Linked DNA regions of Struthio camelus. The protein of the gene in region 1 binds, or shares a complex with, the protein of each later gene. Links are inferred from orthologs where the notes say so. Each region holds a gene or a part of one and is shown in the gene's direction. Other genes may lie near its edges. The genes, in order: TCTE1, IQCD, GAS8 and EFCAB2.

What was found.
Region 2: TCTE1 (region 1) and IQCD share a complex: the UniProt entries of both Homo sapiens proteins name them as parts of the nexin-dynein regulatory complex. The link is inferred for Struthio camelus from reciprocal best matches to the Homo sapiens genes DRC5 and DRC10.
Region 3: TCTE1 (region 1) and GAS8 share a complex: the UniProt entries of both Homo sapiens proteins name them as parts of the nexin-dynein regulatory complex. The link is inferred for Struthio camelus from reciprocal best matches to the Homo sapiens genes DRC5 and DRC4.
Region 4: TCTE1 (region 1) and EFCAB2 share a complex: the UniProt entries of both Homo sapiens proteins name them as parts of the nexin-dynein regulatory complex. The link is inferred for Struthio camelus from reciprocal best matches to the Homo sapiens genes DRC5 and DRC8.

Annotation. Positions count from the first base shown.
Region 1 is NC_090944.1:104,556,700-104,564,617, reverse strand, and holds the start of TCTE1 (dynein regulatory complex subunit 5), read left to right. Parts: upstream 1-4,912; 5' UTR 4,913-5,176; coding exon 5,177-5,357; intron 5,358-7,399; coding exon 7,400-7,918. UniProt on the Homo sapiens protein: Component of the nexin-dynein regulatory complex (N-DRC) a key regulator of ciliary/flagellar motility which maintains the alignment and integrity of the distal axoneme and regulates microtubule sliding in motile axonemes.
Region 2 is NC_090958.1:4,675,147-4,682,551, reverse strand, and holds the start of IQCD (dynein regulatory complex protein 10), read left to right. Parts: upstream 1-4,386; 5' UTR 4,387-4,462; intron 4,463-4,803; exon of another isoform or gene 4,804-5,303; intron 5,304-5,510; 5' UTR 5,511-5,652; coding exon 5,653-6,345; intron 6,346-7,405. UniProt on the Homo sapiens protein: Component of the nexin-dynein regulatory complex (N-DRC), a key regulator of ciliary/flagellar motility which maintains the alignment and integrity of the distal axoneme and regulates microtubule sliding in motile axonemes.
Region 3 is NC_090951.1:1,755,081-1,761,995, reverse strand, and holds the start of GAS8 (dynein regulatory complex subunit 4), read left to right. Parts: upstream 1-3,904; 5' UTR 3,905-3,967; coding exon 3,968-3,970; intron 3,971-4,532; coding exon 4,533-4,625; intron 4,626-5,827; coding exon 5,828-6,025; intron 6,026-6,245; coding exon 6,246-6,452; intron 6,453-6,915. Other genes in the region: DBNDD1 (dysbindin domain-containing protein 1), read right to left, coding at 544-592. UniProt on the Homo sapiens protein: Component of the nexin-dynein regulatory complex (N-DRC), a key regulator of ciliary/flagellar motility which maintains the alignment and integrity of the distal axoneme and regulates microtubule sliding in motile axonemes.
Region 4 is NC_090944.1:99,242,635-99,249,777, forward strand, and holds the start of EFCAB2 (dynein regulatory complex protein 8), read left to right. Parts: upstream 1-4,139; 5' UTR 4,140-4,174; coding exon 4,175-4,202; intron 4,203-7,143. UniProt on the Homo sapiens protein: Component of the nexin-dynein regulatory complex (N-DRC), a key regulator of ciliary/flagellar motility which maintains the alignment and integrity of the distal axoneme and regulates microtubule sliding in motile axonemes.

The DNA of each region.
Region 1 (7,918 bases):
TAAAGCCAGTCCATTTGAAGATTAGATCTGCCTTCACTTATTTGCCAAGATCTGAATTCAAGCCTCTAACTTTAATTTTTTTTTCTTTCCCTGCGGGAGCTGATTATTACCCTGGGTGCCCTCCGGCGCGGTGCCTGCCTGCGCCGCACACTGGTACTGCTCTCCGCGGGTCTGGGAGAGGAGAGAAGCGAGACCAGACCTCGGCAGAGAAACGCCTTTTGCCATTAGGGACCCTGACACTCACAGGGTAAGGAGCCGCTCTGGAAGGGGATCAGTGGGGAGAAGGAAGGAACATGCTCTGCTTATTAAAAGCACAGGCCTATGATTTTGGATCTTGGCTCTGTTCACAGCGTTTTCGCAGGCTCCCAGCATCCTCTGACTTGTCTCAATAATCTTGTTTCCTCTGTGGACACCCCATTACAGTTCACAGTTAGTTGGAGAGGCAGAACTGGAGAAAAACACTGTTCTTCATAACTGTTATTGATAAACTGACCAATCTAGTGAGGTTTTTTCTCTCTTTGGGATTCTGCAGAGGAGCCTTGCTGGGAGGAGAGAATATAAGGTTCCTCTCAGCAGGCATTTCAGAGAGCTGGACTAGTACCTTTAACTGAGGGTTGAGCTTTTGGAAGCAGCCAGATGTTTTCCTTACCTCTCAGCAAATACCTCCTTTCTGGATCTCCAGGGGTTGGCATGATGTGGCCAGCTGTGCAGACTAGCAAGGGCTACAACGGGCAATGCTCAGTTCCTCAACTGTTTTCATGTTTCAGAAAGGTTCTTACCTGGACAGGGTGTCTGATATGTTGACAGTTATCCAGGACCAGATTGTTGCCCCTTGGCACCTGTCATATTGCAGTGACAACACTAACGTATTCCCAAATGGCTGGCTAACCTAGTTCTGCCTGATCGCTGCTCATTTCCAGGCTATTTGAAACTAAATGGATCCCTCATCTGGCATGCATTGTTTTCTTTACTTAAGGCCCGTTCCAGAGACTCAGGCTCTTTAAGAGTCTGCAGTATGCTTTCCTAATGCAAACTTAGCATCAGCCTTTCTACGTAAGCGAAAGGGAGCATCACATGTCACTGCTGGTGGTAGCAGGAGTAGCAGTGCTAGCCTGTATTCAGGCTCTTTTGCTGATGTCTCAGCTAGCCTATGCAGAGTAGACGTAACAACACAATGGCAAAGACACCTGAAGTTCACCTAGCATTTCCAGAATGCTGCAGCAAGGACGTGAGAACTTTTCTCAGTGTCCGGGTAGACCAAGCTTCAACGTGAATGCAATCTCAGCTAGAGCACAACCATACTCAAGAAGAATTTCCCCTACATTTACAAACTCTCCAGTTAGCAGGGCCTTTACAGTCATTCAGTTTCTTGGCTCAACATATTCTGGTAGGGGGCATCAGCCAAATGTCACCAATTTCCACATGACTCTTCTTAGTGGTCTGTCTGGGCTTTGGTGTCGTTCAAAAAAGCAGAAAACTTTTCTGTTTGAGCAGATGTCCTATTTGCAGATCAAAACAGGTGGGACTGAAGAACCAAAATGTTAGGTAGCAATGTAAGTTGGCTACGTGAATGGAATCCTGAAAGATTTGCTTCTTCTGGGGAAAGGAAATGTGATTTTTTTTTTAGAAATTTCAGTATATTTACCTTTCAGCCTAATCCGTATGTTAAATTATATAAACTAGGAATTTACTACATGTCCCCACTCATTGTATATTATTTAATAAAGCCTTTGCAGGATAGGTGACTTAAGTTTTAGAGTGGGTGGGAAGGAGCATGTGTTATTGCTGTTGACTTGGCTTACTGATAGTCAGTGAATTACAACACTTCTCTAGTGTTTAAATATATGCTCAGCAAATCCAGCCATGGGAACTGGCTTGGCATGTTAGCTCTGGCTTTATGAAGTTCCTAAAGCCAAGACAGAGGGGATGCAATAGTGAAAGCAACCCTTCCCCCAGACTGCATATTTGGACATCCAGACCCACAGAGGCTCACAGAAAACCAAGGTGATGAAGGCAAGCAGTGGTGAGTGGCTACTGTGCTGAGGGTGGTGTGAATTGATTCAGTGTGATCAATGACTCAGTGTCAGACTCAGCCCTCCCCAACACCTCAGTCTTGAGGTTGATTCAGACACCTTGTGGGCTAGTTATTACACACTAACAGCCTTCCTCTTGCTAGATTCGTGTGCACGCTGAATGCTGAGTGGGAACGGCAGAGTCAGAGGAGCTGACTTGGTGTAGAGCTCAGGTACAGACAAAAGTCCTCAGCAGATGGGCCACAAACACCAAGCTGTATTCTGCAGCCTCACATTTGGGATCAGCTTACATTGAGATTAGTCCTCATCTAGGTAACCTCACACACCAGGCAACCATCACTCAATGGATTTCATCCAATGTACCGAGGGGTCGTACTGATTTCTAGAGCTGGGTTTCTGCTCTGCCTGAGGACAGGGGTTGTGTCTCCCGCTTGGCCTGCAGGAGGCCATCTGGCAGTCTTGCATGCGCTGTGGGTTACTTTCTAAAAATCGATCTACCATCAGTAAACTGGCAATCAGATTATTTGCTGGAATACAGCCATGAAATAATCCTAGGCCATCAATGCTGCACTAGCTTTTCCTAACAGCTGGCCTTTAAAGATTGCTCCCAGAAGGTCAGAAAGGTCATCAGAAGCCCCAGTCAGCTGGGACTGGCCTGGGGGGCACAGTTACACAGATGCTTTTTGAATAGGATGAAGGACTGAGCAAGAAGAAAACATTTTTCCCAGGCACCTCTCCTCTTTCAGTGCCACCTCACCGCCGTCTGGCTGTGCTTTCCCTTTCCACTAAAGACGGCCAGCATTAAGAGCTGGGTTTTTAGCTGGGTCAATGTGTTGTGTTCTCTTTCCCCTCAGTGGTAGCTTGCCGTCACAGCACCTTCCTTTGGGGGCAGGGAGCTCTTCAAACACATGGTTGCCACTTCTCATTTTGGACCAGTCACATTGCATCCATTCCCTCCCCTTCCCCATCTCTCCTTCTTCAGAACAAAGCCCCTTTTTCTATGGCCTTTGCCTTTGTCATCCTTTCACCAAAGCCTAATGGGAGACATAACCTGCCTGCCTCAGCGTCCTTCATCCTCCTGCTTTGTGATGGAGGAACCCCTGCCACTGCCATCTCCCTCATCCTTATTTCCTGACTCTCATTCTGAAAAGATCATTCTTTTCTAGGATCTGCTGAAAATGCATTTAAAGAAGCCTTTGCTGACACACTTGCTGCAGTAGATATGAATCATTTTGCTTTGCTCTTCTAGTTCCTGGCATGTCACAGATCTTTTGCACATTCCTTTGTAGGCCCTTTCATCGGATGTCTTTTGGAGGGGGAAGGAGCAAAGGGAGGAAAGCTAGCAAAGCCTACTACAAAGCTTTCGGGAAAAGAGGGGCTTGTGCCGACTGAGGCAGCACAAACTGGGACTTCAGGGGAAAAGGAAGCAGCCTCATGCAAGGGAAGAAAATGAGGCATTTGATCTGGGGAGCACCATCTGGCTCTTGCCCTCCGTAAAGGAGGAGCTGTTTGCAATCAAAGCACTGTTCATCTGAGGGATATTGTGGCACAACACACTACATGGCTATCAGCCTCTGTGTAGGATGTTGTCACAGGATCCTTCGACTCTATCATGGTGCAGGGCCCCCTCTGCCCCAAGGCTTCCCCTTGGTCTTGTAGGAAGCTGCCCTTGCCTCTGGCACTGCCAGCAATGCAATCTCAGCTAGAGCATAACTAGACTCAAGAAGAATTTCCCCTACGCTTGCAAACTCTCCAGTTAACAGGGCCTTTACAGTCATTCAGTTTCAACAGCCTGGTGCTGTTTTCACATGCCCTGGAATCTCTAACTATCCTTCTCCCTTTCAAGCAGCTCCCTTGAAATTCAGTTCCTCATAATGACTCTCTTGTTCTTATGAGCCTCTTTCCTCTCCCACTAAACTGTAGCCCTGTTATGTCCAGTTACCCCCAATACATATTTAGCATAGGTCTGGGCACCTTGCGACAGGCTTGCCAAGCCTGGGCAACGCTGTCGAATCCAGGACCCAGAAGGCAGAAGAAGAGCCTTCTGCTTCCTGGTGTCTCCTCTGACTCTTTCAGACTGGTGGGGTTGGTGAGGGAACCATTAGGACTTCCAGACAATAATCATACATGTCCGATAATGAAGGCTGAGAGTGCTGGTCCTGAGGTAGGGGTAGGAAATAGCAAAAGGGAAGATCTAGTCTGGGAAAGCTTTGCAGAGCTAACAGGACTTGGGCATCCTGCCTTCTGCTCTAGCCTGGTTCTTTTAGCTCATATCTGCTTATCTTCAATGTGGGTCTGAATAGAACTGACCCACCTCATCAGTTAATGGATGTTTGGAAGGAGTTCAGCTGGTAATTAATTGTGAAAGGCGGAAAAAAATGAATATATGTATAGTAAGCATCTATCTTTACAGAGTCATAAGAGCAGGCATATTGGAACAAATGTGGATTATCTGGCCCAGTATCCCATTTCTCACAGTGACCAGATGCAAGTATACATGTTGCTTCCCTCCAGCATTCTCCCCACCTCCGACCATTTTCAACTCATACCGAGCCAGATGTAGTTTCTGTGTGTTTAATCATTCTCAAAGGGGTTTATCTTCCATGAACTTGTCCAGTCTCTACTGAAACCGCCACAGATTTTCAACATCCACAATATCCTGTGGCAAGAAACTCCCCAGCGTAACTACAGATGGTGTGAAGAACCATCTCTTTTCTGTGTTTTGAACCCAGCTCCTGCCACCTTCACTTAAGGCCCTTATTTCTTTTATTGGAAAAGACAGTAAGCAACCCTTTCCTGTCCTCCCTCTTCAATAGCACTTTGAATTAACACCACATTATTATCTGTTTATTACATGTAGCACCTAGAGATGTCTTTGTGCTGGGCACTATACAAAGATAAGGCTAAATAATAGTCGCTGTGCTGCAGTGCTCCCAGTCCAAGAAAAGGCAAAAGCAGGCAAAGGGCAGGGGAAAAGTGCATCACAAAAGAGTAATGTGAGCAAAGTATTCTTATTGCTTGGCCTTTTACTAAAATTATCTTTTTCTGTTCCAGGCAGTCCAGTTGGAAAACGTGGTGGTGACTTCTGATCTCAAGCAATTTTTCTCCAGCTTCTCCTGAAGGAGAAGTGGGACCTGAGCAGGATGCAGGAGCCAGTGGCTGGTGATGTGAGCACAGCCCTTCCCACATTCCCATCCCAGGCCAGCTTCGCTGCTGATTCATCCTGTATACAGCGCATCATTGCTGAGGATCCTGAGTGGTCCCTCGTCATTGTCCCACAGCTCACCGAGCTCTGCCTCCAGCACATCATTCGAAATTTTGAAAGTAAGCAGGAGTGCCTCTCGCCTGGGACACACAGAGAGACAGCATCTCTTTTGGGAAGCAGGGGGTCAACAGAGCAGGCAGATGCATCTGAAAGTCACAGAGGGTGGTACCCAGCCCTGCCAGAGAAACAGATGGGGAAAAACATCTCCTCAAGCAGCTAGTTAAGCAAGCTATTTAGTTGCTAAGCATGTACTTGCACACTCCAGGGACACTCCAGAGGACATTAGTCCTCTGGGCTGCTATCCAGGATGTGACTCTGCCCTAACCTTGTCCTATCATTTCTTCTTCCTTCCATGGTCTGCTGGACTCACTACCTCAACTGTGACCAGGACTGTGAAGCTGCTATTTCCTTCTCTTGATTCATACATACATTATGGTAGTACTCAAGGATAGAGCTCCCATTGTGCTGAGTGCTGTACAAAGAGATGTAGAAATACTCCCTGCTCCAAAGAACCCTCATCTCAGAATTCATATTGTACTCACAGTTTCAGGCCTTCTCCACAGCTTTTGGTGGTGATGTGATAAGTCATGTCCCCAGGCAGGGAAAGTGCTTTTGAGGCAGGTGGACTGATGAAACACATAGAAAAACATAGAAAGGGTGTCTCATCTGGGAAGCGAGTGGGAGGAGGAAAGACAGGACCTACCTGTGTTTTTGGCTGACTTAGTGGAGTTGTAGCAAAAACCAAAGATAGGTATAAGGGTATGTTCACACTGGAACTATAATACAGTATAGAGAAGCTCAGCGCTGCCTTAGGTCCCAGCTGGGAGACCTTCCAAGTCCTTTCAGTTTGATCAGTCAGCCTGATGCCAAACGGATTGGACCGACAGTGCATGCATGTAAGTGTGCTCAGTCTCTTGGAGTCCCTCATACCAGCGTCTGACCTGTGCAGCTGCATCTTGCCCACTGCTGTTGCCTGAGTGAGCCAGACTGAAGCTAGTCTACTTATGCCAACATGTGTCTCACCTCTGCTTGCATTGTGAGCCTTTGCAGAGAAGGTCACTGCAGTGCCAGCTCTCTTATTGGAGAAGAGACTCCGGGAAGAGCCTCTGGTAAAACTCTGCACGTCCTTAGGAAGAAAATGCCCCAGAGAGAGAAAAAATATAAGACTAACCCCACTTTGTGTCTAAGAATTTGACTTCCCATGTGCAGACAGGCCTCTCCACTGATAAGGTCTGTGATTCAACACATACATGTACCTGTCACCAAGTATTCATGGTGTATATACACATTGCTTTTCTCTGGTATCTCTTACCACAAAGAACTTCCACCAGAGAAAAGTCAGCTGACACTCAAAGCAAGGGACTGAGGAGAGAAAGCTCCTGGGAAAGGAGAACCCTTATTTAAATAGGGTGGATCTGAAGGCTAAGATAAAGTGCGTCTTAGTGGGAAGGAATCAGGAATCAGTTTGGAGTAAGACAGACACCTGAGTTAAGATGAAAAGACGAGGACTTGTATGAAAAGCAAACAGACAGTTCACTTCTCAAATATCATCCTTTAATACGGTTAGAATCCACAGGGGAAAAGTTCAGCAAATGACAAGTCAAATTCTGCCATTACTGTAAGCCTAGAATAGTTGTGTTAGTGGCAGCAGTCTTTCTCTGAACATAAACTGAATTAAAACCAAAGTTAAACTGATGATCTGGATTTAGAGTGCTGGAAAGCAGATCCTTTCAAGATCTATTCAAAACTATATGCAAATTCCCAACTACAGGTCAATAACTTTAGTCAGGACCTTGTTTGTGGTACCCAACTTTGGTGGTTGCAGAGACAGGAGCTAAGTTCCTGATGCGGTCTCCAAATATTATGAGAGTAAATTCAATTACGGTGATATTTTACAGTAAAAGATAGAAATCCTACACAAAAATGAGTCATTTTCTGCCAGCTTAGTTCCCTGCACCGACTAAAGGTAACTGAGAAGGGAGCCAGTATCAGTAGAGGGGAGGGCATGAACACACAGCTGAGGGTCTGGACAGAACCTTGGCCTACAGGTGCCATGGGCCTACAGCCCAGAGCAACCTCTCCTCCTCTCCATCCCCTCCAGATAACCCTATTATGGACTGTCTTCTGCCTGAGCACCAAAGGAAGGTGCTGGACAAGCTCTCCACTGGACTTCCACTAACTGTGACTGCCAATCTAATACGTGATGAGGACTACTGGAAGAGGTGCTGCACTCAGCGCTGGCAAGTGTGCGATGTCTCCAACTATGGAGATAGCTGGAAGCGGATGTTCTTCGAACGTCACCTGGAGAATATCCTGAAATGTTTCATCCCTAACATCACGGACCCCAACCAGGTCCTGGAGCTCATCCCACTCTGCAAAGAGTATGTGCGGAAACTGGAGGTTGATCAGTTCCTTCCCCCAGTGAAGCTGGATCAAAAGGAGGAGGAAGATGACTTCTCCGATTCCGGGAGTGACTTTGAGCTCAGTGAAGCCTCCATGCATCACTATGACCTGGGAGTCCTCATTACTGCTCTCCCTCATCTTGAAGAGCTTATTCTTACTTATGGTGTGAAGGACTGTGGCATGAACTTTGAGTGGAACCTCTTTAACTTCACCCACC
Region 2 (7,405 bases), on another chromosome or scaffold:
TGTCTTGCTCTGTGTGAACAAGCAGCTGTAACGCTTCATACCAGTGGTGTTCCTTAGTGCGGTGGGTCTCATTTTCTCTGTGCAACCCCAAACTGCTCTGGGCCCTTATGCATGGAGGTCACCACAGAAATAGGAACTATTAACCTGAAAGTGGTGTTTGCGAAGCCCTGTCATGCGCTAGCTAACCTGCATTCAACCCATTAGCTGGCAAGGGATGTGGAAGGAATGCAGGTCAAAGACAATTCTGCATATAACAAGAGTGATGAAATGTTCTCTCTCCCTCCCCCAATAAATGGAAAATAAGCACTAGGAAAGGGACACAATACTGTTATTTTTAATGATGTTCCCAGAGCCTCACCAGAGTGTTTCTAACAGGTTCCTGGGGGCAAGAGGAAGTTCAGGTCACTCCCACCTGCTCACAACACAGATGAAGAGCATGCCCTTGGCAATGACTCATAGCAAGACACGGGAACTAGTAAAAACAAGCGAGAGCTGCAGCAGGGTGCAGCGGTCAGGGATCAGGCAGTCCCGCAGATTCCCTAGGGCCTGTTTTGGTGCCAAAGCTCCATGTTCCCAGCAGTGCATCATGCAAGGCTCAGCACACCACAGCAATGAGTGCAACTGGCTCCTGCCAGGGCATCCTGAGGATGCAGCTCCTCACGCGGTGTCTGTTGTGGTGATACCCCAGGTTGCTGGTGGTGGCAGCCTGTGAAGTGCTCTCAGCCCTCCAAACGCAGTCCACTTCGGCTCAGCAGTATAGCTCGGTGCTGAGAGCACGATGGGAGTTCACGGCTTCAGAGCTGGTGTGCAGAAGAGCAGAAGATGCTCTCAGTGAACAAGTTCTGCCTCCCCGCAGCTGCATTCTGGCTACAGCCAACACAAAGTTAGTGGCAGGGACCTGCAGTCAGGGCCAAGAAGAGAGGGGACTGTCCCTACAGTAACACTGGGCCTGGGTACGATAACCTTGCAGCCTGGCATCTTCGTGTGCCTCTGCTCTTTTGCTGTCGTTTCACAATCAGTTTTAACTGGTGCAATATACTCCCCTCCCTGCTGTTCCTTCCGTTGACCCACATATGGATGGGTGGTAGCACAAGGCAAGGAACTGATTTGGATAAACCCAAATTGCAGAGGATCACAGCTTTCCACGCTGATCAGCAGAGCCTGCTTGCTCACACATGCCGAACCTTGCCTTCTCTTTGCCACAATGGAGAAGGATGAGCCAATTACTGCCTTTCAGTGAGTAGTTAAAAATTCTGCGTCTGAAGAGTGGTTCAAATGGGGAGGTGAAAAGGCAGACGGGGCCAAGCAGGCCTTTGATGTTCAGCTGTTTAGTTACAAGGGATATACAGAGACCTTTGCATCTGAACACAGCTGGACTTGAACAGTGGGGGACAGCATGCCTGGGCTGTACCCACACGCAGAGCCTCTCAGCTCCCCCTTTCCTGATCAGGTGTACCCAGCACAGCTCCCTTGCCCATACAGTTCTGATTCCCGAGCACCTTTGGATGTGCTGGAGCTCTGGGTCCTGATGCAGGCTGGGCCGGTTTGTTTGCAGGCTGAATTGTTTCAGGACCGATCTGAGGTTTTTCTACATCCTGGACAAGAGGAAGGGACGACACACAGTTTTGGTGACATTTCGTACAGCTCCCAAAGCAGCCTGGTTTCATTCCTGGCAGAAAAGCTGCTCCCGGCCTGGAGGTGGTACTGGAAGCTGCAGGACGAGTGAGGCTGCTCTGAGCACATGCCATCACCCCCACTGCAGCCTGCAAGTTTGAGATATCTCTAATTAGCATCCAGAAGGGAGTTGCAGTGCTCCATGGGTTTCCCTAGCTAAGAGGAGGTCTGGACGCGACCCACAGGCTCACCCTTTTCTTCCTCTCTCCTCTGTATGTTCCAAAATGCTTCTGTCCCTCCAGGCAGGCCACGTGCATGGGCACGCGGGACTCTCAGCTGACAATTGCTCACAGCAGTTGATCCTGTCTCCAGGTCATGGCTGTAAGGAAGCTGGAGTTTCCACTTCTCCGAGAGCAGTTGCCCATTTCATATGAGGCAATCTGGACTCATCAGCTTTGGAAAGAAAAAGACATTTTTTTCAAGACTGATTTAATTGCCAAAACGTCTACAGGGGAGTGGCAGCCTTTCACTGGGGTCAGGGTTCGCTCCTGAAATCCTTGGCAGGAAAAGAAGCAGCTCTCTATGTCTCCAGGGCTATTTCTCTGTGCTGCGATGACCGCAGTATGCCATTAGGAAAACATCCAATCAGCGGCACACTATCTTTCTGATTTTATGGCCCTGCTGTGCTAAAGCTGTGGGTCTCCTGCTCAGCCAGCACAGCCACGCTGATTTGGAGCTGACATAATCACAAGTGCCAAATTAGGGCACAAGAGAAGGTGCTTCTGGACAGCTCTGTGCTTTTGCTGGAAGCTGAAGACAGACTGTCCCACACACAGAGTTAGAGCTACCACCCCACCCCACAGCTGGCTGGGTGAACCAACTTAGGGTGTTGTGCTGGTGGCTGCAGCATTTTTGACTTGAACCAGACTTACCATTGCACTGAATCCCAGCCGGACCTTCCTCTGAACCTGTGCTGTGCTGAGCCCAGGCACACTAACCAGGGAGCCGTCCCCTGTTTGTGGCTCTGCACTTGCATGGTCCCAGGCAGAGGGAAGGAAGGGATCATGGCAACATTAGCGCCGTTCCTCCTCCTTTGACTTGGTTGCTGGGAGCAGGAGGCAGCTCAGCCACTGCACGAGCAGTCCCTGACCTGTACGTAAGGAACTGCTTCCCAGGGGTGCTTTCCTCCCATCCATCCTCGCAGGGGCCTGGCTTTGAGAGTCTGGCCCTGGTACTCCTACTCCATCTCCCATCACCAGATCCTAGTTTGCGTTGTGCAGGGAATAATAGCCAAGAGATGCGCTGGACCAGTGCTGGGCACAGTCTCCAGCGCTGGGGATTTATTCACTGGCTCAAACAGGCTAAGCCCAGAAATAAGTAAATGTTCTTGTTGACGTGAGCAGACTCTATGCAGCGCCGCAGCAGAGATGCCAGATGATGCTGTCCGTGGGGTCCCACAGCTGCTGTGCCATTGCTTAGCACTTACTCCTTCCTCTTCAGACAGAAACATGTCACTAGGACTAGCGCTGGCTTTGGGCATTTTGCCAAGTTTCCTCCCGGAAACCCAAGCCTTTCTCTCCCCACATGGATGCCTCCTGCTGATCCCTCAGCAGTGTGAGGACAGGACTTGCACTGAGTTTTGATGGGCCAGTATGTTCTCTACAGACGTCGCTAATTCATGGCTAATCAACTAATTGTGCATGTGTGGCATCTGCATCTTAATCAGCAGAAGCCTTCCAGAGTTTATTAGCATTTTAATAGCACTGAATGCAGTGTGATATAAAATTACTTTTCCTTAACAGTACAGTTAGGGTAATTTCTTGGTTGCTGATGGTCTTACATTTAAAATCCCCACAGACTTTATATTCTGCCCAGTCTAATTTTGCTACATGATCTGAATTTCTGTAACCGTGGCCTGACCGATGCGTACGTGCACTCTGCGCCCCTGAAAGATCTTTTTAGCAGCACCACGTCCCTGCTCTGGAGCGGTCTTTCCATCAGGGCCCAGGCAAAGGGTCCGTTTCCAGTGCGGCGGCGGCAGGTGGCTTGCAGCGGTGATGACCTGCTACTCCTGACGTCTTGTTCCTGAGGTCAGTGGCGGCGCTGAGACGTGGCGATGACGGTTACGCAGGAAACCCTTTGAGAGGGGACGGGGATGTGAGCACGGGCTCGCAAAAGTGCTTCCCCTACTTTGCCTTTGCTCTTTTCTGTGTGCGGAGGGCCTAGGAGACTTGAGTCTGGGGAAGGGGGTTACGAAGTTTACTTTTCGGCTTATTTTTCGAGCTCTTAGGAACACGCTGCCTGGTGTCCCGGGGGCCTGGCGGGAAGGCGAGCTGTGAGCCCGGATCTGCTCGCAGAGGACGATGCCAAATCCTTCAGGGAGACTTGCTTTGCCTGGCCTGTTCCCCGCCTGGTAAGCAGCCGTTACAAAAATAAAGCAAGGGCTGACCAGGCTGCGGAAAACCCCCGTTCCCTTTCCACTGATGCACGTTTCTGCCTCCCTCGCCTCTCTGTGTCCGCAGCACCGCTCTTCAGCGCTCCGCGGGGGCGGCCGCCTTCACGCCCCCAGCCCCAGCCAAGATGGCGGCTCCCCGCGCCGCCGCGGCTCGCTCCCGCGGCCCGGCGCCCTCAGGTGGCCTTCTCATTGGACAGTCGCGCTGCCCATCAAGCGCGGGGGAGAACGCTGAGTGGCTCGAGGTGTTGCGGCCCCTGAAGTGGAGCAGGCGCCATAGGCTGTCGGAGGGGACCTGCCCCTCCCCGCCGCGCTCGGTCGCCTAGCAACCCGAGGACTCCGGCGGCGGCCGGGCGGGCCGGGAGCGGCGGTGGCGGCGGGCCGAGCGGAGCCCGGGTAGCGCCCGCAGGGCCCCGGAGACCCCCCGCGCCGGCCCCGGGCCTCCCCTCCCCGGACCCGACCCCGGGCCTCCCCTCCCCCGTCCCGACCCCCCCCCCCGCCATGATACCCCCCGGGGCCTCTGTGCCCCCGACCCCCAAGGCCCTGCAACACACCCCGGGCCTCTGCCCCCCGGGGTCCTTGGGCCCCAGCACCCCCGGGTCCTGACCCCCCAAGATACACCCTGGCCCTTCACATACCTGGGCCTTCACCCCCCCCCCCCCCCGCCTTCCCTCTTCCCCCTTCTCCCTGCCAAGATACACCCTGGTCATCTCTCCCCTCAGGCCTGGACCCCCAACAGGCCTGGACCCACACTTGGGGGACCCCTGGCACCCCACTCCCACAACCCACGCACAGGGGATTCCCCCCCCCCCCCCAAGCTCCCTGAATCTCCCCTTGACCCATGCCCGGGGGATCCCTGGGATCCCCTGGCACTCGTGCCCCCATACACACAGCCAGAGGACCCTTGACTCTCTGTCACCCTCCCACATGCGGCTGCCCTCTGCCCCCTCACTGTCCCTTCCCCTGGCCCTTGTCCTTGCCAGCACAGCCCCTCCAGGCGGGGATCAGCTCTTGCACTTCCTCCCTCCAGCAGCACCAGGCCTGAACTGATGAAGGTGCATGTTTCCCACCAGGAAACCTGCCCTTCCTTCTGAGGTGGCCCTAGAGACCTGCAAGCCCCCCCCCCCCCCCCCCATGCACCTGTAAACATTGTAGAGCTGCAATCGGTGATCTCCATCTCACCTGCTACTTAGAAGGAGCTGGGAGCTTTCTCCTCACCATCCTTCAAAGTAGGGAGGTTATTAGTTTTCTTCCTTTCCCATGGGCGTTCTGGTACATTTGGACGTTTAACAGCATCTCTGGGATAGAGATCACTTCTAATGTAAAACCCCAATGCCCTTATTGTGTGCCTAGACCTAGGGACAACTAGAGTGTAATCTGAAACTCCCACGTTTTCCCAAATAATGTTGTTTCTCTAATGCTCTCACCAAACTTTATTTTAAAGATAAAATCTGAGGAAGAAGAATTTGCCACAGAAGCAGCAGAGGGACCTTGATGTACTTCGACTGAGTCATTCTCTGTGGTCTTACTCTTTGTGTCCCTTCTAGACCTCAGAAGACTCAGCTCAGAATTATTTAACCGAAGCCATGGCAACAGGGAATCCAACTGTGCTCCAAGGATCATCTCGGGACACGAAGCAAAGAAATAAGCCCTTGATAAAAGGCGTTCAAACTCCAAATAAGGAAGTGATCGGATTAGATGCCAAGAAGATGTTAGATCGAAGTCGGTCAAAACTTAATACTCGTGAGACCCAAAGAATCATATCTGTCTTGGATGAGACGATTGTCAAGCTGGAGCTGAGCAGTTTGATCCCTTGTATTATTGACTCTCTGGATAGGTTTGCTGATATGCTGGGCCCTGCGATCACAAATGACCTGATTGAGCACCAAAAGCTTTCAAGCAAAGTGGAGGACCTACTCTCCAGCTTTCAAGAAGAGGACACGTCAAGAGCAGAGGAACAGAGGGACTGTCTTTGCTTGCTAGAGCAACATCTGAAAAGTTCTGTTAGAAATATTCTGAGACGCTTGCTCGCCAACCCTTCACTTTGTCAGGCTCTGAAATATGAAGTCTGTGCAAAGCAGTCATCAGCTGAAGCGTTTATCAAGGCCTTTAGGGAGTTCAGGAATTTCATGCATGAGAGACTGCTGACTAGTCTCTTAGAAGAGAAAGAAAAGATTCAGTTCATGGAAAACATCTCCCGCCGGATTACAAAAAACACTGAAACACTCACAGCTTTAAAGGCAGAACTGGCAGCAACAACCCAGTCTCGAGATGAAAAGGTATGATATTGTGGGAATATGCTTTCTAACAAAGGGTCAATGAGGCAAAATTTTGGTAAACTAGGAAATAATCCTTTTCTTGCAGACCCTAGACAGGAAGTTCCAAAAATGGTTTGTAAACCAGATCCTAAAGTAAAATACACTTACTTCATTTCAAAATATAATTTAAAAGGCTTATTGCATGCTTGATTTTTAAACTTAAATTTCACATGTTTTTATCGTCTTCTCACTGGCAGTTTAAATCACCTTGGAAATCACCGAGTTTAAAAAGGAGATGTAGAACAGGCACAAATTGCTGCAATAGCATTTTGTCATTAATGCAGTAGTATTAAAATGCATTTTTAATATCTACTCAGCCTTCACTCTTGCTTAAAAGCAACATTTCTATGACTTCCAACTCTATAATACTAGCAACCTTAGAACATTTATAATTAATGTGTGATAACATATGTTTATTTTTTGCAAAGAAAGCAACAGAGGTAAACTAATGGACATGCCCAAGACCTTGGGCTGAGCCAGAATTTGAGCCCTGAACTCTTGACAAGCAATTCCTTGTTTTATATGTATGCTTTTTTTTCCCCCTCCTTTCAGCAAGAGGGGTCAGAGAGGAAAGTTCTGCACTGCACTGAATGGTGCTAATGCAGACAAGGGCCTGAATTCTCTCCACTCCCTGGAGATCTGTGAATTGAGACACTTGAGATTGTTATGTGCCATTTGGCAACTTGTCCAGTGCATAATGAATAAACCTGTTTTACTGGTCCCAGATGAGTATTTCTTTTGCAGGCAGCCCACTGAGCTGAGTCCCCAGGACTGTCCCTCTGAGCCTAATGCAAACTTGATGAAGCCAGTGGGCTGTTTCCAGTGGCTCTGACTTTGGATCCTGTTCAGATGGGGCAGCACCTGTGGAAGCTTCCTCAAATTACAGTGCTGGTGGGTCTCAGCATGGCTCATTCAATCTCTGACCTTATTCACAGGTTCACGGAGGAACTGTGAGAGGTTTCCAAAGCATCTTGGAAACTAACTAACTCTGTTCCCTTTGCTAGCTTTGGAGATCTTGTCA
Region 3 (6,915 bases), on another chromosome or scaffold:
CAACCGCCCGGAGGGACCCCGTGGCACGGGGGGAGCCGGCCGGCCCTCGGCCCCGCACGTGCCAGGGCCGCGGGCAGCTGCTCGCCCCCAGGAGGGCATCAGTGCGGTGGGGAAGGGGACAGAAATACCCAGCCCAAAGGAGCCGGGGCAGGGAAACGGGGTGGGCGGGGGGGGGGATTCGGTTCCTGCTGGCAGGGCAGCCCTGGGGCCCGCATGGGGTGCATTGAGCTGCCGGGTGCCCCGTGCACCCACCTCGACAGCGGCTCCGCCGAGTCCCGACCCCGCCAGATGTGATGGGGCGCCCTGCCCTTGCATGGGGGACTCGGGGCACCCTGCCCTGCTCTGCGCAGCGAGCCCCGCGCGTCCCCGTCCCCGCCGCCGCGGAGGTGGCTCAGCTCAGCCTGCCCGGACAGGTGGGCAGAGCTGCCCGGCTGCCCAGCCTGCTGCCAGCGCCGGGCGGTGAGGCGGCGGCGTCCCCCCGCCCCGGCCCCGGCAGCATCCCTGCCCGGCTCTCCGGCGGCGCAGCCCCGAGCACCCACGCACCGGGCTGCTGCTCAGCGCCGGAGAAATCCCCTCTCGCCTGGGCCTGCATGGTGGCGGGGTGCCGCCGGCCGTGCCGGGCCGGGCCGCGCTCCGTCCCTCCGCGGCTGCTGGGGGCTCACCGGGCGCCTAGGTGGGACACGGGGCCGGCGTCAGGGCTCCCCCGCCTGCTCTGCTGACTCACGTTAAACCGCAGAGCGAGGCAGCGCTGGGCTCCGGCCGCCCGGCCGCAGCCGTCCCCCCGCCTCGCCGGGCGCCCCGTCCCCCCGCGCCGCTCCCGACGGCCGGGGCCCTGGCACAGCCGCGCGCGGAGCACGCGCCGGGAGGGACGTGGGCACAGGCGCCCCCGCACCGCCCGTGTCACCCGGCAGGGCCCCGGCTGCAGCCCCCCGCCGGCGCTGGGGACCCCGGCACGACCACCACCCCGTCCTCGCGTGCCCCAGCACCCAGCGCGCGGCCCCGGCAGACGCCCCTCGCGCGCGTGCCCCCGCCCCTGGCGCCCCTCGTGCACGCAGCTGCCCCGGGCACCCGCGGCGCGGCCCGAGCCGGCGTCCTGGACGCTGCCATGCGCCCCCTCTGCCCCCCCAGACATCCCCGGCCCGGCCCCCCCCCGGCCCACAGACACCCACTCGTGTGGACAGACGCGACACCCGTGTGCGCGGGCACCCCTAAAGCGGCCCCCTGCACGCTCGCACCCAGGCACCCGCTTGTGCCCACCCTGCACCCCACCTTGCACACGCCCTTTGAGCCCCTGTCCCCCCCCCATGCACGCACCCCTTGCGGACATCCCACACGCACCCCGGTGCGCCCCCATCCCCATGCACACCCCTCTTGTGCACCCCATTGTATGCGCACCCTCCTTGCACACCCCCCCACGCACACCCTGCTGCACACCCCCTTGCACCCCGTCACTGCCATGCACACCCCTTGCACATACCCCCCCACACCCATGCACACCCCCCCTTGAGTAACCCCCTACCCCCCATGCACACCCCTCCTGCACACCCCCTTGCACCCCCTCACCCTTATGCACACCCTCTTGAACACCCACCCCACCCCACCCCTATGCACACCCCCCACCTCTCCTTGCACACCCCTTACCGCCCCCATGCACACCCCTCCTGCACACCTCCTTGCACCCCCCCCATGCACCGCCCCCCGGCAAACATCCTTCACAGACTTCCATGCATGCTCCCCCTTGCACACCCCCCCGATGCACACCCCCCTTGCACCTCCACCCCACCCCCATGCACACTCCCCCTTGCACACCCACCCTACCCCGATGCACACCCCCCTTGCACACCCCCCTTGCACCCCCACCCCACCCCATGCACACCCCCCACCTCTCCATGCACACACCCCCTTGCACCCTCACCCCCCTGCACCCCCCCTTGCACACCCACCCCACCCCTCCATGCACACACCCCCTTGCACACCCTCCCGGTGTCCCCCTCCCCCCCCCCCCAGTGTCCCCTTCGATCCCGCCGTGCCGCGCCCAGCCCGGTTCGGCCCGGTGCGGCTCGGTCCCGTCTGCCGGCCCGCAGAGGCGCCCGGCCCGAGGCCGCGGTGATGGGCGCGCCGGCCCGGTTCCCCCTCCTTCCCCCCTCCCCCCCCGCGGCCGCCGCTCACCTGCGGTGCCGGCCGCTCGGGCAGCCTCCATGGGCCGGGCCGGGCCGGGCCGGGGCCGGGGCCGGGGCCGGTGCTGGGCGGGGCGGGCCCGGTGCCAGCCCGCAGCCCGCACGCTCCTGCCCGCCGCGGCGGGGGCGGCGCCGGGGGCGGTGCGGGGGCGGGGGCCGGGGGGGGACCGGCCCCGCCTGCCCGGGGCGCCGCGGGGACCGGGGGTGCGGGGAGCCGCGGCGGGTGCGGGGGGGGCAGTGCGTCTTAGGGTGCTGAGCAGGTCCTGGGGGGTGCAGAGGGGACCCCCGGGTGCAGGGATGACCTGGAGATGCAGAGGGGATCCTGAGGATGCAGAGGGGTCTCAGGGTGCAGAGGGGACCCCAAGGTGCAGGGAGGACCTGGAGATGTAGAGGGGACCCCAGGGTGCAGGGAGGACCTGGAGATGCAGAAGGGACCCCAAGGTGCAGGGAGGACCTGGAGATGTAGAGGGGACCCCAGGGTGCAGGGAGGACCTGGAGATGCAGAGGGGACCCCAGGGTGCAGGGAGGACCTGGAGATGCAGAAGGGACCCCAAGGTGCAGGGAGGACCTGGAGATGCAGAGGGGACCCCAGGGTGCAGAGGGGACCCCAGGGTGCAGGGAGGACCTGGAGATGCAGAAGGGACCCAGAGGATGCAGAGGGGTCTGAGGGTACAGAGGGGGCCCTAGGGGGTGCAGAGGGTTCCCTGGGTGCAGAGCAGACCCCAGGGTGCAGAGGGGTCTCAGGGTGCAGAGGGGACCCCAAGGTGCAGGGAGGACCTGGAGATGCAGAGGGGACCCCAGGGTGCAGAGGGGACCCCAGGGTGCAGGGAGGACCTGGAGATGCAGAAGGGACCCAGAGGATGCAGGGGGGTCTGAGGGTACAGAGGGGGCCCTAGGGGGTGCGGAGGGTTCCCTGGGTGCAGAGCAGACCCCAGGGTGCAGAGGGGTCTCAGGGTGCAGGGAGGACCTGGGGGTCCCCAGGGGTCCCGGGATGCCCAGTAGGGCAGGGCAGGATGCGCCATGCAGAGCTGCAGGCAGCAGAGCCGGAGCAGCACGTGCCCAGAGCCAGGGGTCCCTGGGCCCCGCGCTGGGGACAACCTGCCGGGGACCCACCTGCAGCACCCACCCCGCACCCAAGCCCTCGCGAGCCCTGCACCACGGCCCGGCCGGGTGCATGGCCAGGGGCGACGCCGAGGGGCCCTGCATAGGGACCGTGAGGGGCACCCAGCCGGGCTGGGGCAGGGACGGGCGCTGGAGGCCGTGTCCTCGCCGGGAGCCCGGGCCCTGCCACGTGCCGGGTGGCCGGGCACCGGGAGTAGCGGCGGGCGCTGAGGTTTGCCACGAGGGGCTCACGGTGGCGGAGGTGAAAGCCGGCAGGGGATGGTGGCAGCTCCTGCTCCCGAGGGGCAGGAAAAATCTGATGCAAATAGAAGCGGTGCAATGAGTTTGTGAGGCCTCGGGTGCACGGTCCCTCCAAAGGAGGCCGGAGGGGACCTGTTGGCCCCTGTATGTGGGCTGGGGGCAGCCGGCCGGGCAGGGGCAGTGCCGGCCGGGCAGCGGCGCCCCGTGGCCTGCACGGGGCCGGGGCCGGGGCGGGGGGACGCGAACCCGCGTCCTGGCCCGGGGTGGGGGGGCCGCCGGCTGCGAGGCTCCGCCGCCGTTGCTAGGGTCGGGCCTCGTGTTGCTAGGGGGCGTGTCTCCCGGTGCAACCCCGCCCCCTTCCCGCGGCGCGGCTCTCGCGAGAGTTGCCCGCCCGTTGCCTGGAGACGGCGGCGCGGGCGGCCGCAGCCATGGTGAGGACCGGCGCCGGGGCCGGGCCGGAGCCCGGGGGCGAAGCGGCCCCGGGGGCGGCGGGAGCCGCGGGGCATGGGCGGGGGGAGCCGAGGGGAGGCAGGGGGGAGCCCCCAGGGAGCCCTCGGGTACGGGCGTGGGGAGCCGCGGGGCCCGGGCCGGCTCCGGGCCTGGGGCAGCCCCGGAGCGGGGGGTGCGGGCCGCGGCGGGGGCTCGGCAGCCCCCAGGGCTCCGCGGGCGGGCGGTGGTGAGCCGGTGGGCTCTGGTAGCGGGGCCGTCAGTTGCGGAGGGCAGGGGAGCCCCTCCGGGCCCGAAGCTTTGCTGCGGAGCGAACCTGCAGAAGCTGCTCGTGGAGCTGCAGGTGTCCCAGAGGGTCTCGAGTGTCCTGGCTGCTCCCCGGGACCCCGACCCCGTCGCCCTTCTAAACCTCTCCACGCCGTGAGAGCAGGCAAGCTGCGTGACTGGCCTGGACAGCAGCTCGAGCAGGAGAGCGCTGAGCAGCACAGCTTCCTCGCAGCCCCCGAGACGCACGCACACCTCATGCGTTTTGATTTCTTTTCTTAGGCACCCAAAAAAAAAGGTGGCAAAAAAGGGAAAGTGGGCAAAGCTCCAGCAGTGGTGGATGGCTTGTCCCCCAAGGACATGAGCAAGGAGCAGGTGAGAGCTTGCCACATATCCCAGCCTACCCCCAAGGTCAGAGGACACTGAAGTTTGTGAGAACATTAGCAGAGGCCGGTGCTCGATGTTTGGTTCAGGCTCCAGGGATGACAGGTGGCAGAGGTTAGTCGAGAAGACAGAACAAGCGGTTGGTGTTCATTTCACTGCCTCACACATGTCTGGACAATGTGTACGATCTCACAAAGCCTGCTCAGCACTTTTCCTGAAAAGATCAGCCACCTCGTCTCATCTTCCCTTCTGCTGTTCTCCAGCCCAGTGCCTTCACTGTCTTAGGCCTGACTTCATAACCGTGGCACCCTGCTCTCTTGTTTCATTGTCCTAGTGCTGTGAAAATGTCCTGATAGAGTGTCCTGGTGGTGTGAAAAAGGTACCCCTGATGAGACTATACCATGTTATTTAAGTACTTTATTTTCTGGTATTTTTCCTTCTGTCAGTAACCTGCCTGACAGACAGAGATTGTACTTCAATCAGTGTTTCTCTGTCCATCAAGCCCCCCTAACTGACTGCTTCCACCCATAACTGGAGCAGACTGATCTCTGCAAGCAGTTGCACTCATGCTCGTACTCAGCCCTGTGACTGCCCAACCTGTATCTTCGTGGCTTGCAGCCTGTGGCACTCATCACAAAACGCATTCCTTCTTGGACAGGAGGCTCTCTTAGGTGCCCTAAGGAAGGGCAGAGGTGGAGAATGTAACTTCCTTCCCTATGTTCAGTTGCTCCAGATGCTCCACTTTGGGCTGTGTTTTGGTGGTATCCTACAAACATAGCAGAAGTTGGCCCTGTCCCAGGGACCTCACTGCCTGGGATAAGATTTTCTGCTTCTGACCTAGTGTTGTTCAGGCATCGCAGAACGGTGTTACTGGCCACGGTGAGACAGAATAGCTGAGTCCTGGCCTCTTATGGCAGGAAAAGGTCTTATTACTCTTCCCAGAGGCTGATGGGTTGCTGTCAGGTCCTGTGCAAACCCCACCCCCTCCAAATGTCTCTTGTTCAGGGTACCTCCCCTCCTGTCCTGTGCTTTTCTGTCCCATTAAAAGCCACTATGTTGTGTCCTACCAAGGTTGCAACATGGGTTGCTATGGATATCTTGAAAAGAGCCTCGGTTCAGCTTTTTTTTCCCGGAGAGCTGTCTGTCCGAGGCCTCCTTTTCCTCCTATTTGGTTCTTCCTATTGGCTTTGCAGCTGGAGGAACACGTTGCGCGTCTCCAGGAGGAGCTGGACCAGAAATGGCAAGAGCGAAACTATTTCCAGCTGGAGCGTGACAAGATTCACACCTTCTGGGAGATCACCCGTCGGCAGCTGGAGGAGAAGAAAGCAGAACTGCGTAACAAGAACCGGGAGATGGAAGAGGCGGAGGAGCGACATCAAGTGGAGATCAAGGTGGGAGGATGAGTAGGCTAGGACCTGTCGTGAGTACCTTGGCTGGGCAGGAGCTGCGGGTGAGCCCTGGGCAGCTCGGAGAGGAGGTGAGGGAAGGGAGGTGGAGGAGGAGGAGATGGGCAGGATACAGTCCGGGGCATCTGGGTCAGTATCCCAGCTTCAGGTGTATTCCTGTCAGCATCTCCTGAAGCCCCTCACCTGGTCTGTGGCTTGTCTTTAGGTTTACAAGCAGAAGGTGAAGCACCTGTTGTACGAACACCAGGAAAACCTCACTGAGCTGAAGGCAGAGGGCACCCTGTCCATGAAGCGGGCCCAGAAAGATCACTGGGCTCAGGAGATGGAGCTGCGTAAAGACGTACGCTCCTTGAAAGTGGAGCTCAAGGAACAGGAGCTAGCCAACGAGGTGGTGGTGAAAAACATGCACCTGGTAGGTCGCTGGCAGGGCGGGAGGGGCAGCAGGCCCGGGCTGAGGCCCGGGCAGCAGGCAAGGCTCGTCTGCGGCAGAGGGAAGTGCTGAGGCCTTTGACTGAGCCCTCCCTGCCCTGGCGTGTGAGCAGCAGACTACCTTCCTGCTGTCTCCCTGGAAAGAGAACAGGGTTTCCCATATGCGCCAGTAACAGATATACTTAGGTGGGTTGAAAAGACAGCATAAGAACAGAGAGACGGGCTTCCTGGGGCAGCTCCTTAGAAGTCATCCCTCCTGCAGCAGGGAGCCAGGCAGCAGCTCCAAGGCCATAAGGACAGATGGAGAATCTACTAAGCAGCTGTCTGCTCAGACAGCATGGGATCCATGTGAGGTGGCAGGAGCTGTTCCCAGACAGCAGGAGGACTCTCTTGGGGTGTAGCTGACCCTGGGGAGGTTTAGCCACTTCCTGGGGCTGTCCAGGGCT
Region 4 (7,143 bases), about 5.3 Mb from region 1:
GCTCGATCCTCCCCTTTCAGCCTCAGTGAACTCCCCATCTCTCATGCAATCATACCTTCAGATAACTTATTCAGGAGGCCAGGATTTGGGCTTCTTGGGTTAAGTCCTTGTTTATTACCTGAACGGAAAATGAAGGAACTATCATGTAAATTTATGTGCTTATTGCTCTTCTGTTGGTTAGAGTTGCACCCGAAAGGCTCTTCTTTCTTTTTCAAAAAGAAAACAAAATAGATAGACAAGATTCTGATGAAAATACCAGCAGTTTTGAAGAGGTCAACGGCAGAGCTATTAGTGGTGGGTATGCCTACTGTCTGGCTCTGCCCACTCTATGAGGCTTCTCTTCATCTGGTCCAAGCATAGGCTCAACAGACTCTAAGGAAAAAAGGAAACAAGCAGGAAGAGAAGACATTTCCCTCCCACACATCAAGGAATGAGGTATCTGCTCTCAATGGAATTTACCCAAAATTTGAAGGGAAGACATAGTATAGGTAAAGAACAGTCTTTTTTCTCATTTTTTATCTAGTTGCTGTATATCATTTGAGTGAACAGATAATGTTTTGCTAATACCCCATTTTGAAGAAGCTGTTACTGAGTCACTTGAATCAGCTGCTGATCCGAAGGAAGACCGAAATGAAGATGCCAAATGCACTGGGGTCTTTCATGTTATATTGGGGGAAAAGGGCACTGCCACCCAGAGATACATTTTAGCTGTAAGAACTTAGGCAGAGGAGTAAAGGTAGACTCCAGTTACAGAATCACAGCTATTACTTTGCTTTCTCTGTGAAGGGCAAATGTGTCTTCAGTTATATGGTCTGTTCAGATCCACAGAGGGAGTCCCATAGCAAAGATTTTCAACATGTGTTCACAATAAAGATGTGTCCAAACGCTGCAATCCCAAAACCATGGAGGGTTGGTAGGCATTATTGTGCCTCCTGAAAATACTTTATCTTTTACATCACTTTTCCCATTTTAGTACTACTTTTTTAATGCCAAACAAAATGTCTATGTACAGAAAATATACAAAATGTGTGATAGGTCCCTGATATTTGAGAGGAATGTATGTGATGAAATTCCTTAAGTGCAGAAGTAAGGGTGCCTTCTTTCTATTAGGCTTCAGTGGATTCAGACTGGACATCAACATAGCTGGTTTCTTCCATATTTTTCCCTGAGATATTTTTTGACATTTTTAAACGAAAAATTACAAGTTTAAAAGGGTATGTTCTCTTCAGAGGAGCTCTTTAAAGATCTTGCATGTAGCGTAGCAGCTGATATTCCAAGCTGTTGAATTAGTAGTTCTGGGTTTCCTTTTGTACTTGTCTGTGCCAAAACACGATTAGTTGTTTCAGCCCACTCATACCCTTGGTTTGAGATGTCTGTGCATTAAGTTAGAAGGGAAACAGTCATGTGGTTCAGGTCCAATATTTGATCTGCATCATAACTGTTACCATTTTTTTCCTTCATTTTTCAAGATAGCGTTGCCAGGAAATTTTAAAACAGTGAGTTTTCATTTTGAAGCGCTTTCTCATTGCGTATTTTGTTCTGCTCCTGCAGACAGGCAAGATGCCCAACCCTGTGTATCAGGAGGTGGGGGAAGAAGGGGAAACAGGTGCTGACATTTGGCCACAAGCTATTCAAAGCAAAAGGAAACTCTAGGCTGGAGCAGGGGATGCAGACAAAGCACTTTGATTTACAGTACTCGTCATGAGTGCAATCTCAACAACAGGGGCAGGATAGGGCAAAATATTGTTTGCTGATATTAATGATAGCTGTAAGTGACGAAAGATTTTGCAGCGAGGTTAAAGGTATCAAACTTAATGAGTTTGATACAAAAATCCAGGATTTGACCAATACCTTTATCTACTTGGTATAATGCTGTCCTAACGGAGCTATTGTACCATCTGGTGAGGGTCTGGTTCAGCTGCTACAATAGGATGCAGACATTGTGAGTATGCAGCATTTCCTACTGGAAGCGAAAGACAGTTTTTCCCTTTCTTTTTAGCTTTTACACACTGCTTCTGTTGCCCTCATTCTTCGAGGAAGTTAAAACAAGTGTGGGGAGAAGACCCGAGTTCAAACCCTTAGGCTGGTGAGGTAGACCAAGCATAGGCCCTGGGGAAATTACTGGAAAGATGTTAAATGTACTGGCCTGAGTGAAATTCCTTTCTCACCTCTTCATATTTGCAAAGACTCACTTCAAGTCAAAGGCAACTGTAAAAACACAAGATTTTTAATAAATTAGCATGATAAGCAATATTTATATCTATTTTAAAACTGGTGGTTGTTCATATTTTGGGTATGGGTTTGGCAAGAAAACCTAAATGAGACTGAAATAGGATTTTTAAAAGCATTTATTAGAACTTGGTAAACACTGTGAATAACTTAGCATTTGTTGAAGAGCTCTGAAAGTTCTCTGTTGAATCAGGTAATCTGGAAAATAACACAAGAAATCTAATGCCGGAGAACAATATTGGAGAACATGAAATTTCACAATTGGGGTAGAGGAGGGAAGTACTAACTAAGAAAGCTCTGAGCTTGTCCAACAACGTATTTGGCACTTTTCTTCAGTTTCAAACATGTAACTCATTTGCCACAGACACACAACCAGTCAGGACAAAGGTTTTGCGTGTGGAAGTCTTGAGAGAATAAGAAATGGGACCGCTGTAACATTGAAAGATAACAACAGCCTTTCCTTGTGCTGCTGCTAGGCCCTCTTCCTTTTGCTGCCATGCTGCTGCTCTCACCAGAACTTCTTCTATAAATTTGAGAGGAAACAAATCCATGCTCCTCATGCAGTCAAATATGTACTTTGAAATATTTAGTTACTTTCGTAAACCGTTCAAGTCTACAGATTACCATTCAGAGGGATCAGCTTTGCTCAGAGAGCACAAACAGCTGTTTTCCCAACAGAGTAATTGTGTGTTCTCTTGGGTATCTATTATACCCACTTTATTCTGAGCTACATTCAATAAAAATGCAGAAATAAATGGCTGAAAGGCACTGTGGATTTCTATTTCCTGCAAATAGCAAATGTTATTAAAAAGCAAGTTATTTTTTAGAGCAAGGAAGTCCTATCTCTGCTCAATGGGTTGCTTGAAATTTCAAGCTTCCATGAGTGCTGAGCACATCTAACTGTTTCTTTGAGAGGTGGATAAAGGTGTGTGAGGAGGAACCATCCACCTGAGCTTTGCAAAATTTAAACATCTGGCAAATAGGCACCCGCGGTGGCAAGGACCAGGTTCTAGTTCTAGGAATTTCATAAAAGCGTTTTTTTTTTTCTATGAATATATGATTGCATCTGATTGGAAAATTAATTCTTATTTTATCTGTATTTTCTGTACTTCCGTAGTTGTTTTTAGAGTTGGAAGAACCATGAATTGCAAACACGTCTGCTAAAAGATGTACCTAGAATTTTAGCCGTGTAGTTCTGTTTAGGATTAGTGGATAGACTATTTTAGGGGTTTCAGGGTGGTGGTATTCAGAAGGAAATGTTCCTTCACTGTCTGAAGCTCAGATACGTGGGAAATTATGCAGCTGCTGGGAAAACTCAATTTAGAAGAGCATAGACTATTGTGAAACAGCAACATCTCTCGGGCTCCTTCACAGCCTGCCAGCCAGGGCAGCGGCGTGCTGCGAGCGACGCTACCTCGCAGGCCAGCGGTACTTTCCCATTGCGTTTTCTACCTCCTTGGTAGCCGGGGGGGTACCGCAGCGACTACCGCTCGCTGCGGCGCGCGGTCCCGGGCGGTTTGGGCGGCGGGCGCTGCTCCCGCTTCGAGCGAGGCCCCGTCCGCTGCCCGCTGCGGGGTGCGCGCTGGCGTGGCCCTTCACCCGCCTTTTGGGGCTCGGCCGCCACGGAGAGCTGGCGTGTAAGGTCAACGCTCAACGCCGGCCACGAGCCCCGCCAGTGACCTTCTATTTGCCTTCCGCGGCGCGCGCCGAGAGGCCTCAGTTAAGGGCGATTTCGGGGGCCGCGAAGCGCCCTCGCTGCGGCGGGGCCCCGCGCCCAGGCCGCCGCTTACCGACAGCACGGACCCCTCCGCCGCCGCCAGGCAGCGCCGCCGGGCCCCGGCCGGCCGCCGCTCACCGGCCTGAGCCGAAGCCCGGGCCCGGCCGCGGGCCCGGCGGCGCTGACGGGCGGCCCGCGTCGCCATGGCGACGGCGCAGAGCTGGCGCCATGGCGGAGGAGGAGGGGAGCAGCGAGGGTAAGGCCAGGCCGGGGCGAGGGGAGCCGCCCGCAGCCTCTCGGCCGGGCCGGGCCGGGCCGGGCCGCCGCCGGCGCGCTTGGCCGCCTGGGGCTGCGCCGGAGCCGCCCGGCGGGTGGCTGGCTGCGGCCTGCGGAGCCGCGGGGCTGCTGCCGGCCGGGCCCACGGGCACGGAGAGACGCTGCGCCCGCCGTCCGCCCCACGCACGGTGGCAGCCAGACACCACACGGGCACACAAATGCGCGGAGACATAAAGACACACACACACACCCCCCTGTGCAGCACCACCGCCTCTTACCTGCCCCTGCCTCCGGGGGAAGGGCTCCTTCCCCAGCACTCCCTGTGGTGGAGGATGCCACCCCTGGGTGATGCCACCCCACCAGGAGATGCCACCCCTGGGTGATGCCGCCCCAGGCAATGCCACCCCGGCCGCGCTGTCACCACTTGGGGTGGCTTCGGGGGTGGGGTGGGGGGGCTAAACCAGCTGCTTTAGCCAGTTGGTCATCTCCTCTTTCATTCATTTTTGGATGTGTCAGGCGACCTCTGCCAAAAAAAAGTAATCTGGGCTGCTGATAGCATCATGACTTATTTTTAGAGGCAAGCATGTTCTACTTTAGCAAGCATTAGCAGAAATGATGTTTTATAGGCTAAGGGTAACTCCCGCCGCAAGGATATTCAAGTATCATTTCAAGAAAAGCAAATGTACTTCCTGTAAAACTCACAATACTGCGACTCTTAAAACTCACCCCTCATTTCCGTAAATAAACTGGTGTACATAGTAATATTTTGCAAATTCTAAATATTATATTTAATCTAAATAATGAATTATTTCATATTATTCAGGAAAAACAGTATCCTCCATAGAGAAATCCTGTATAAGCATTTGTTGCGGATAGTGCTGAATGAGTAACTCGATTTCATTAGAAGTATTTCTAAGACAGACTTTGCGGTATAGAGATCTCGCATAAAGTAAGAACTAAGACCAGTGTAGTTTCAACGAGGACTGTTGCTAACGGTATTACTTCTTGAATATTGTTTTCCATCTATGTTTAGTCTTGCAAAAGCATTTTTTTTTCAATCATTCCAGTTTTACAAATGAAGCTGAAGCACAGTACTGGTAGAGATAGATAGGTAGAGAGTTTAGGATAAGAGTCTAGAAGGCTGCTGACCCGTCTGAGAAGAGGCAATCTGGTGTTTTAGCAGGATAGCCGTGATATTGGCAATGTCTGGCTCCACATATTTTGAGCGCCCATACACACGTGAGATTTTGCACCGTTTTGGCAATCCACAGGCAAAAACTGTTGGAGAAGGAAGCTTGTGGTTTTTAGGTTGCTTGAGTAATGTGTTTTAATGCAGGTTTTGTAGATTCAAAGTGAGGATGCTTTTTAAAAGGTTTAATTACTGTATTACTGAAGAAACATATTTTGGTTTTTTTTTGCTTCTTATTTTTTAACATCCTGTAAAACACTTCCTAATAGGTATCAAATGTAGGAATGCCTCCTTCTATAGGAAAACAGTCCGTGCTGCCATCCTAAGCAACCCTGACACCTCAACTCCATTCCTAGCCCTATTGGACTTCCCAATGGATCGTGGGAAAGCAACATACTGGACTTTAGTTTCCTATCCATAAAATGAGGCCAATAAGCTCTATCACGTGGATATTTCAAGGACAAGACATGTAGCTCACCTTTAATCACTCAAGGGAGTTCTACTCTTTTATTAGGCGGACAAGTTGCTTCTTACCTCATAAAGGTTTCTCTTTATTATAAACACGTTTGAGGCAAACGAGCAGCCAGTGTCTCGTTAAACTGCAGAAGGAGTCCCACAAGGGTAAGTAGCTTCTACCCATTTTGGAGTTGCTATTAGCCTTCTTATGCATAGCAGTTAGAGGGTTAATTAGGATTCCCCAAATCTAAATTCACATGTTGATCACGCTTTCTTCCAACAAGCATTTCACATATAAAGTAAAAGTTGCAGTTTGTGTATTACGGTTCAAACAGAACAATAACATTAGCTGTATTGTCAAATAATTAGTCTTTAGGGTATTCCCCTCAGTTCTTTGTAGAACGGCAGTTCCTCCAGCTTTCATGGTAAAGGTTTCCCTTAGGTCCTATTATTTTCAAGTTTTGTCTTCTTCGAAGTTAAAATGCCTGCTTAAATATTTTACAGATACACACACACACACACACACACACACAAATGGTGAAAGGTCAAATCCTGCAACCTCTTATGCATAACATTACTCACATGAGTATTACCCTCTAATTTACATTATTCTTGTGAATATAATCCTGCATGCACAGAAGTGTTAGTAGAACATGCCCATAGTATCTGTGGCTATATGTTTTATGTATGAATTTATAGCTCTGTATTTGTGCTGCTTTATTTTTTCAACAATGCTTAATATTTTTCTTTATACTCATTTGATTACAGTAGTCTGTTTGCCTCATCTCTTTTTTTATATTTGTCTGTATCTTCCCTGCCATCATTCTATTTCTTACCCTTCTTTTGCTTCTTAGTTCGGTCTATCTGTTCTTCCATTTGCTCTCAGATACTTTTTTTCTTATAATTTGACATAAGATGTCAGATTTTCTAAATTTTAATATCTCCGATCTCAGTAGTGCTGTTACAAGAACCTGAAAGCAAAATGTCAGACTGGTAGTGCCTGAAGTAGAACTAGACAGAAGACAAGACATATTTTTCTCCAGCTGGGATTTAAGAAATTACATGAAAGTACATAAAGGGAAAAACACTCAGTGTTCCTATGTCATTATGGTAATGCTGTGTACTTGATCAATACTACAGTTTTTCTAAGACAATATTCATTTTGCTAGTTAGCACATGTTTAAAATGCAATTAATGCCACAAATTTTAATCCGAAAGGAATTATATTAAATAGTCTGAGCTCCTGTTTCACGCATTTACACTTATACAAAACTAA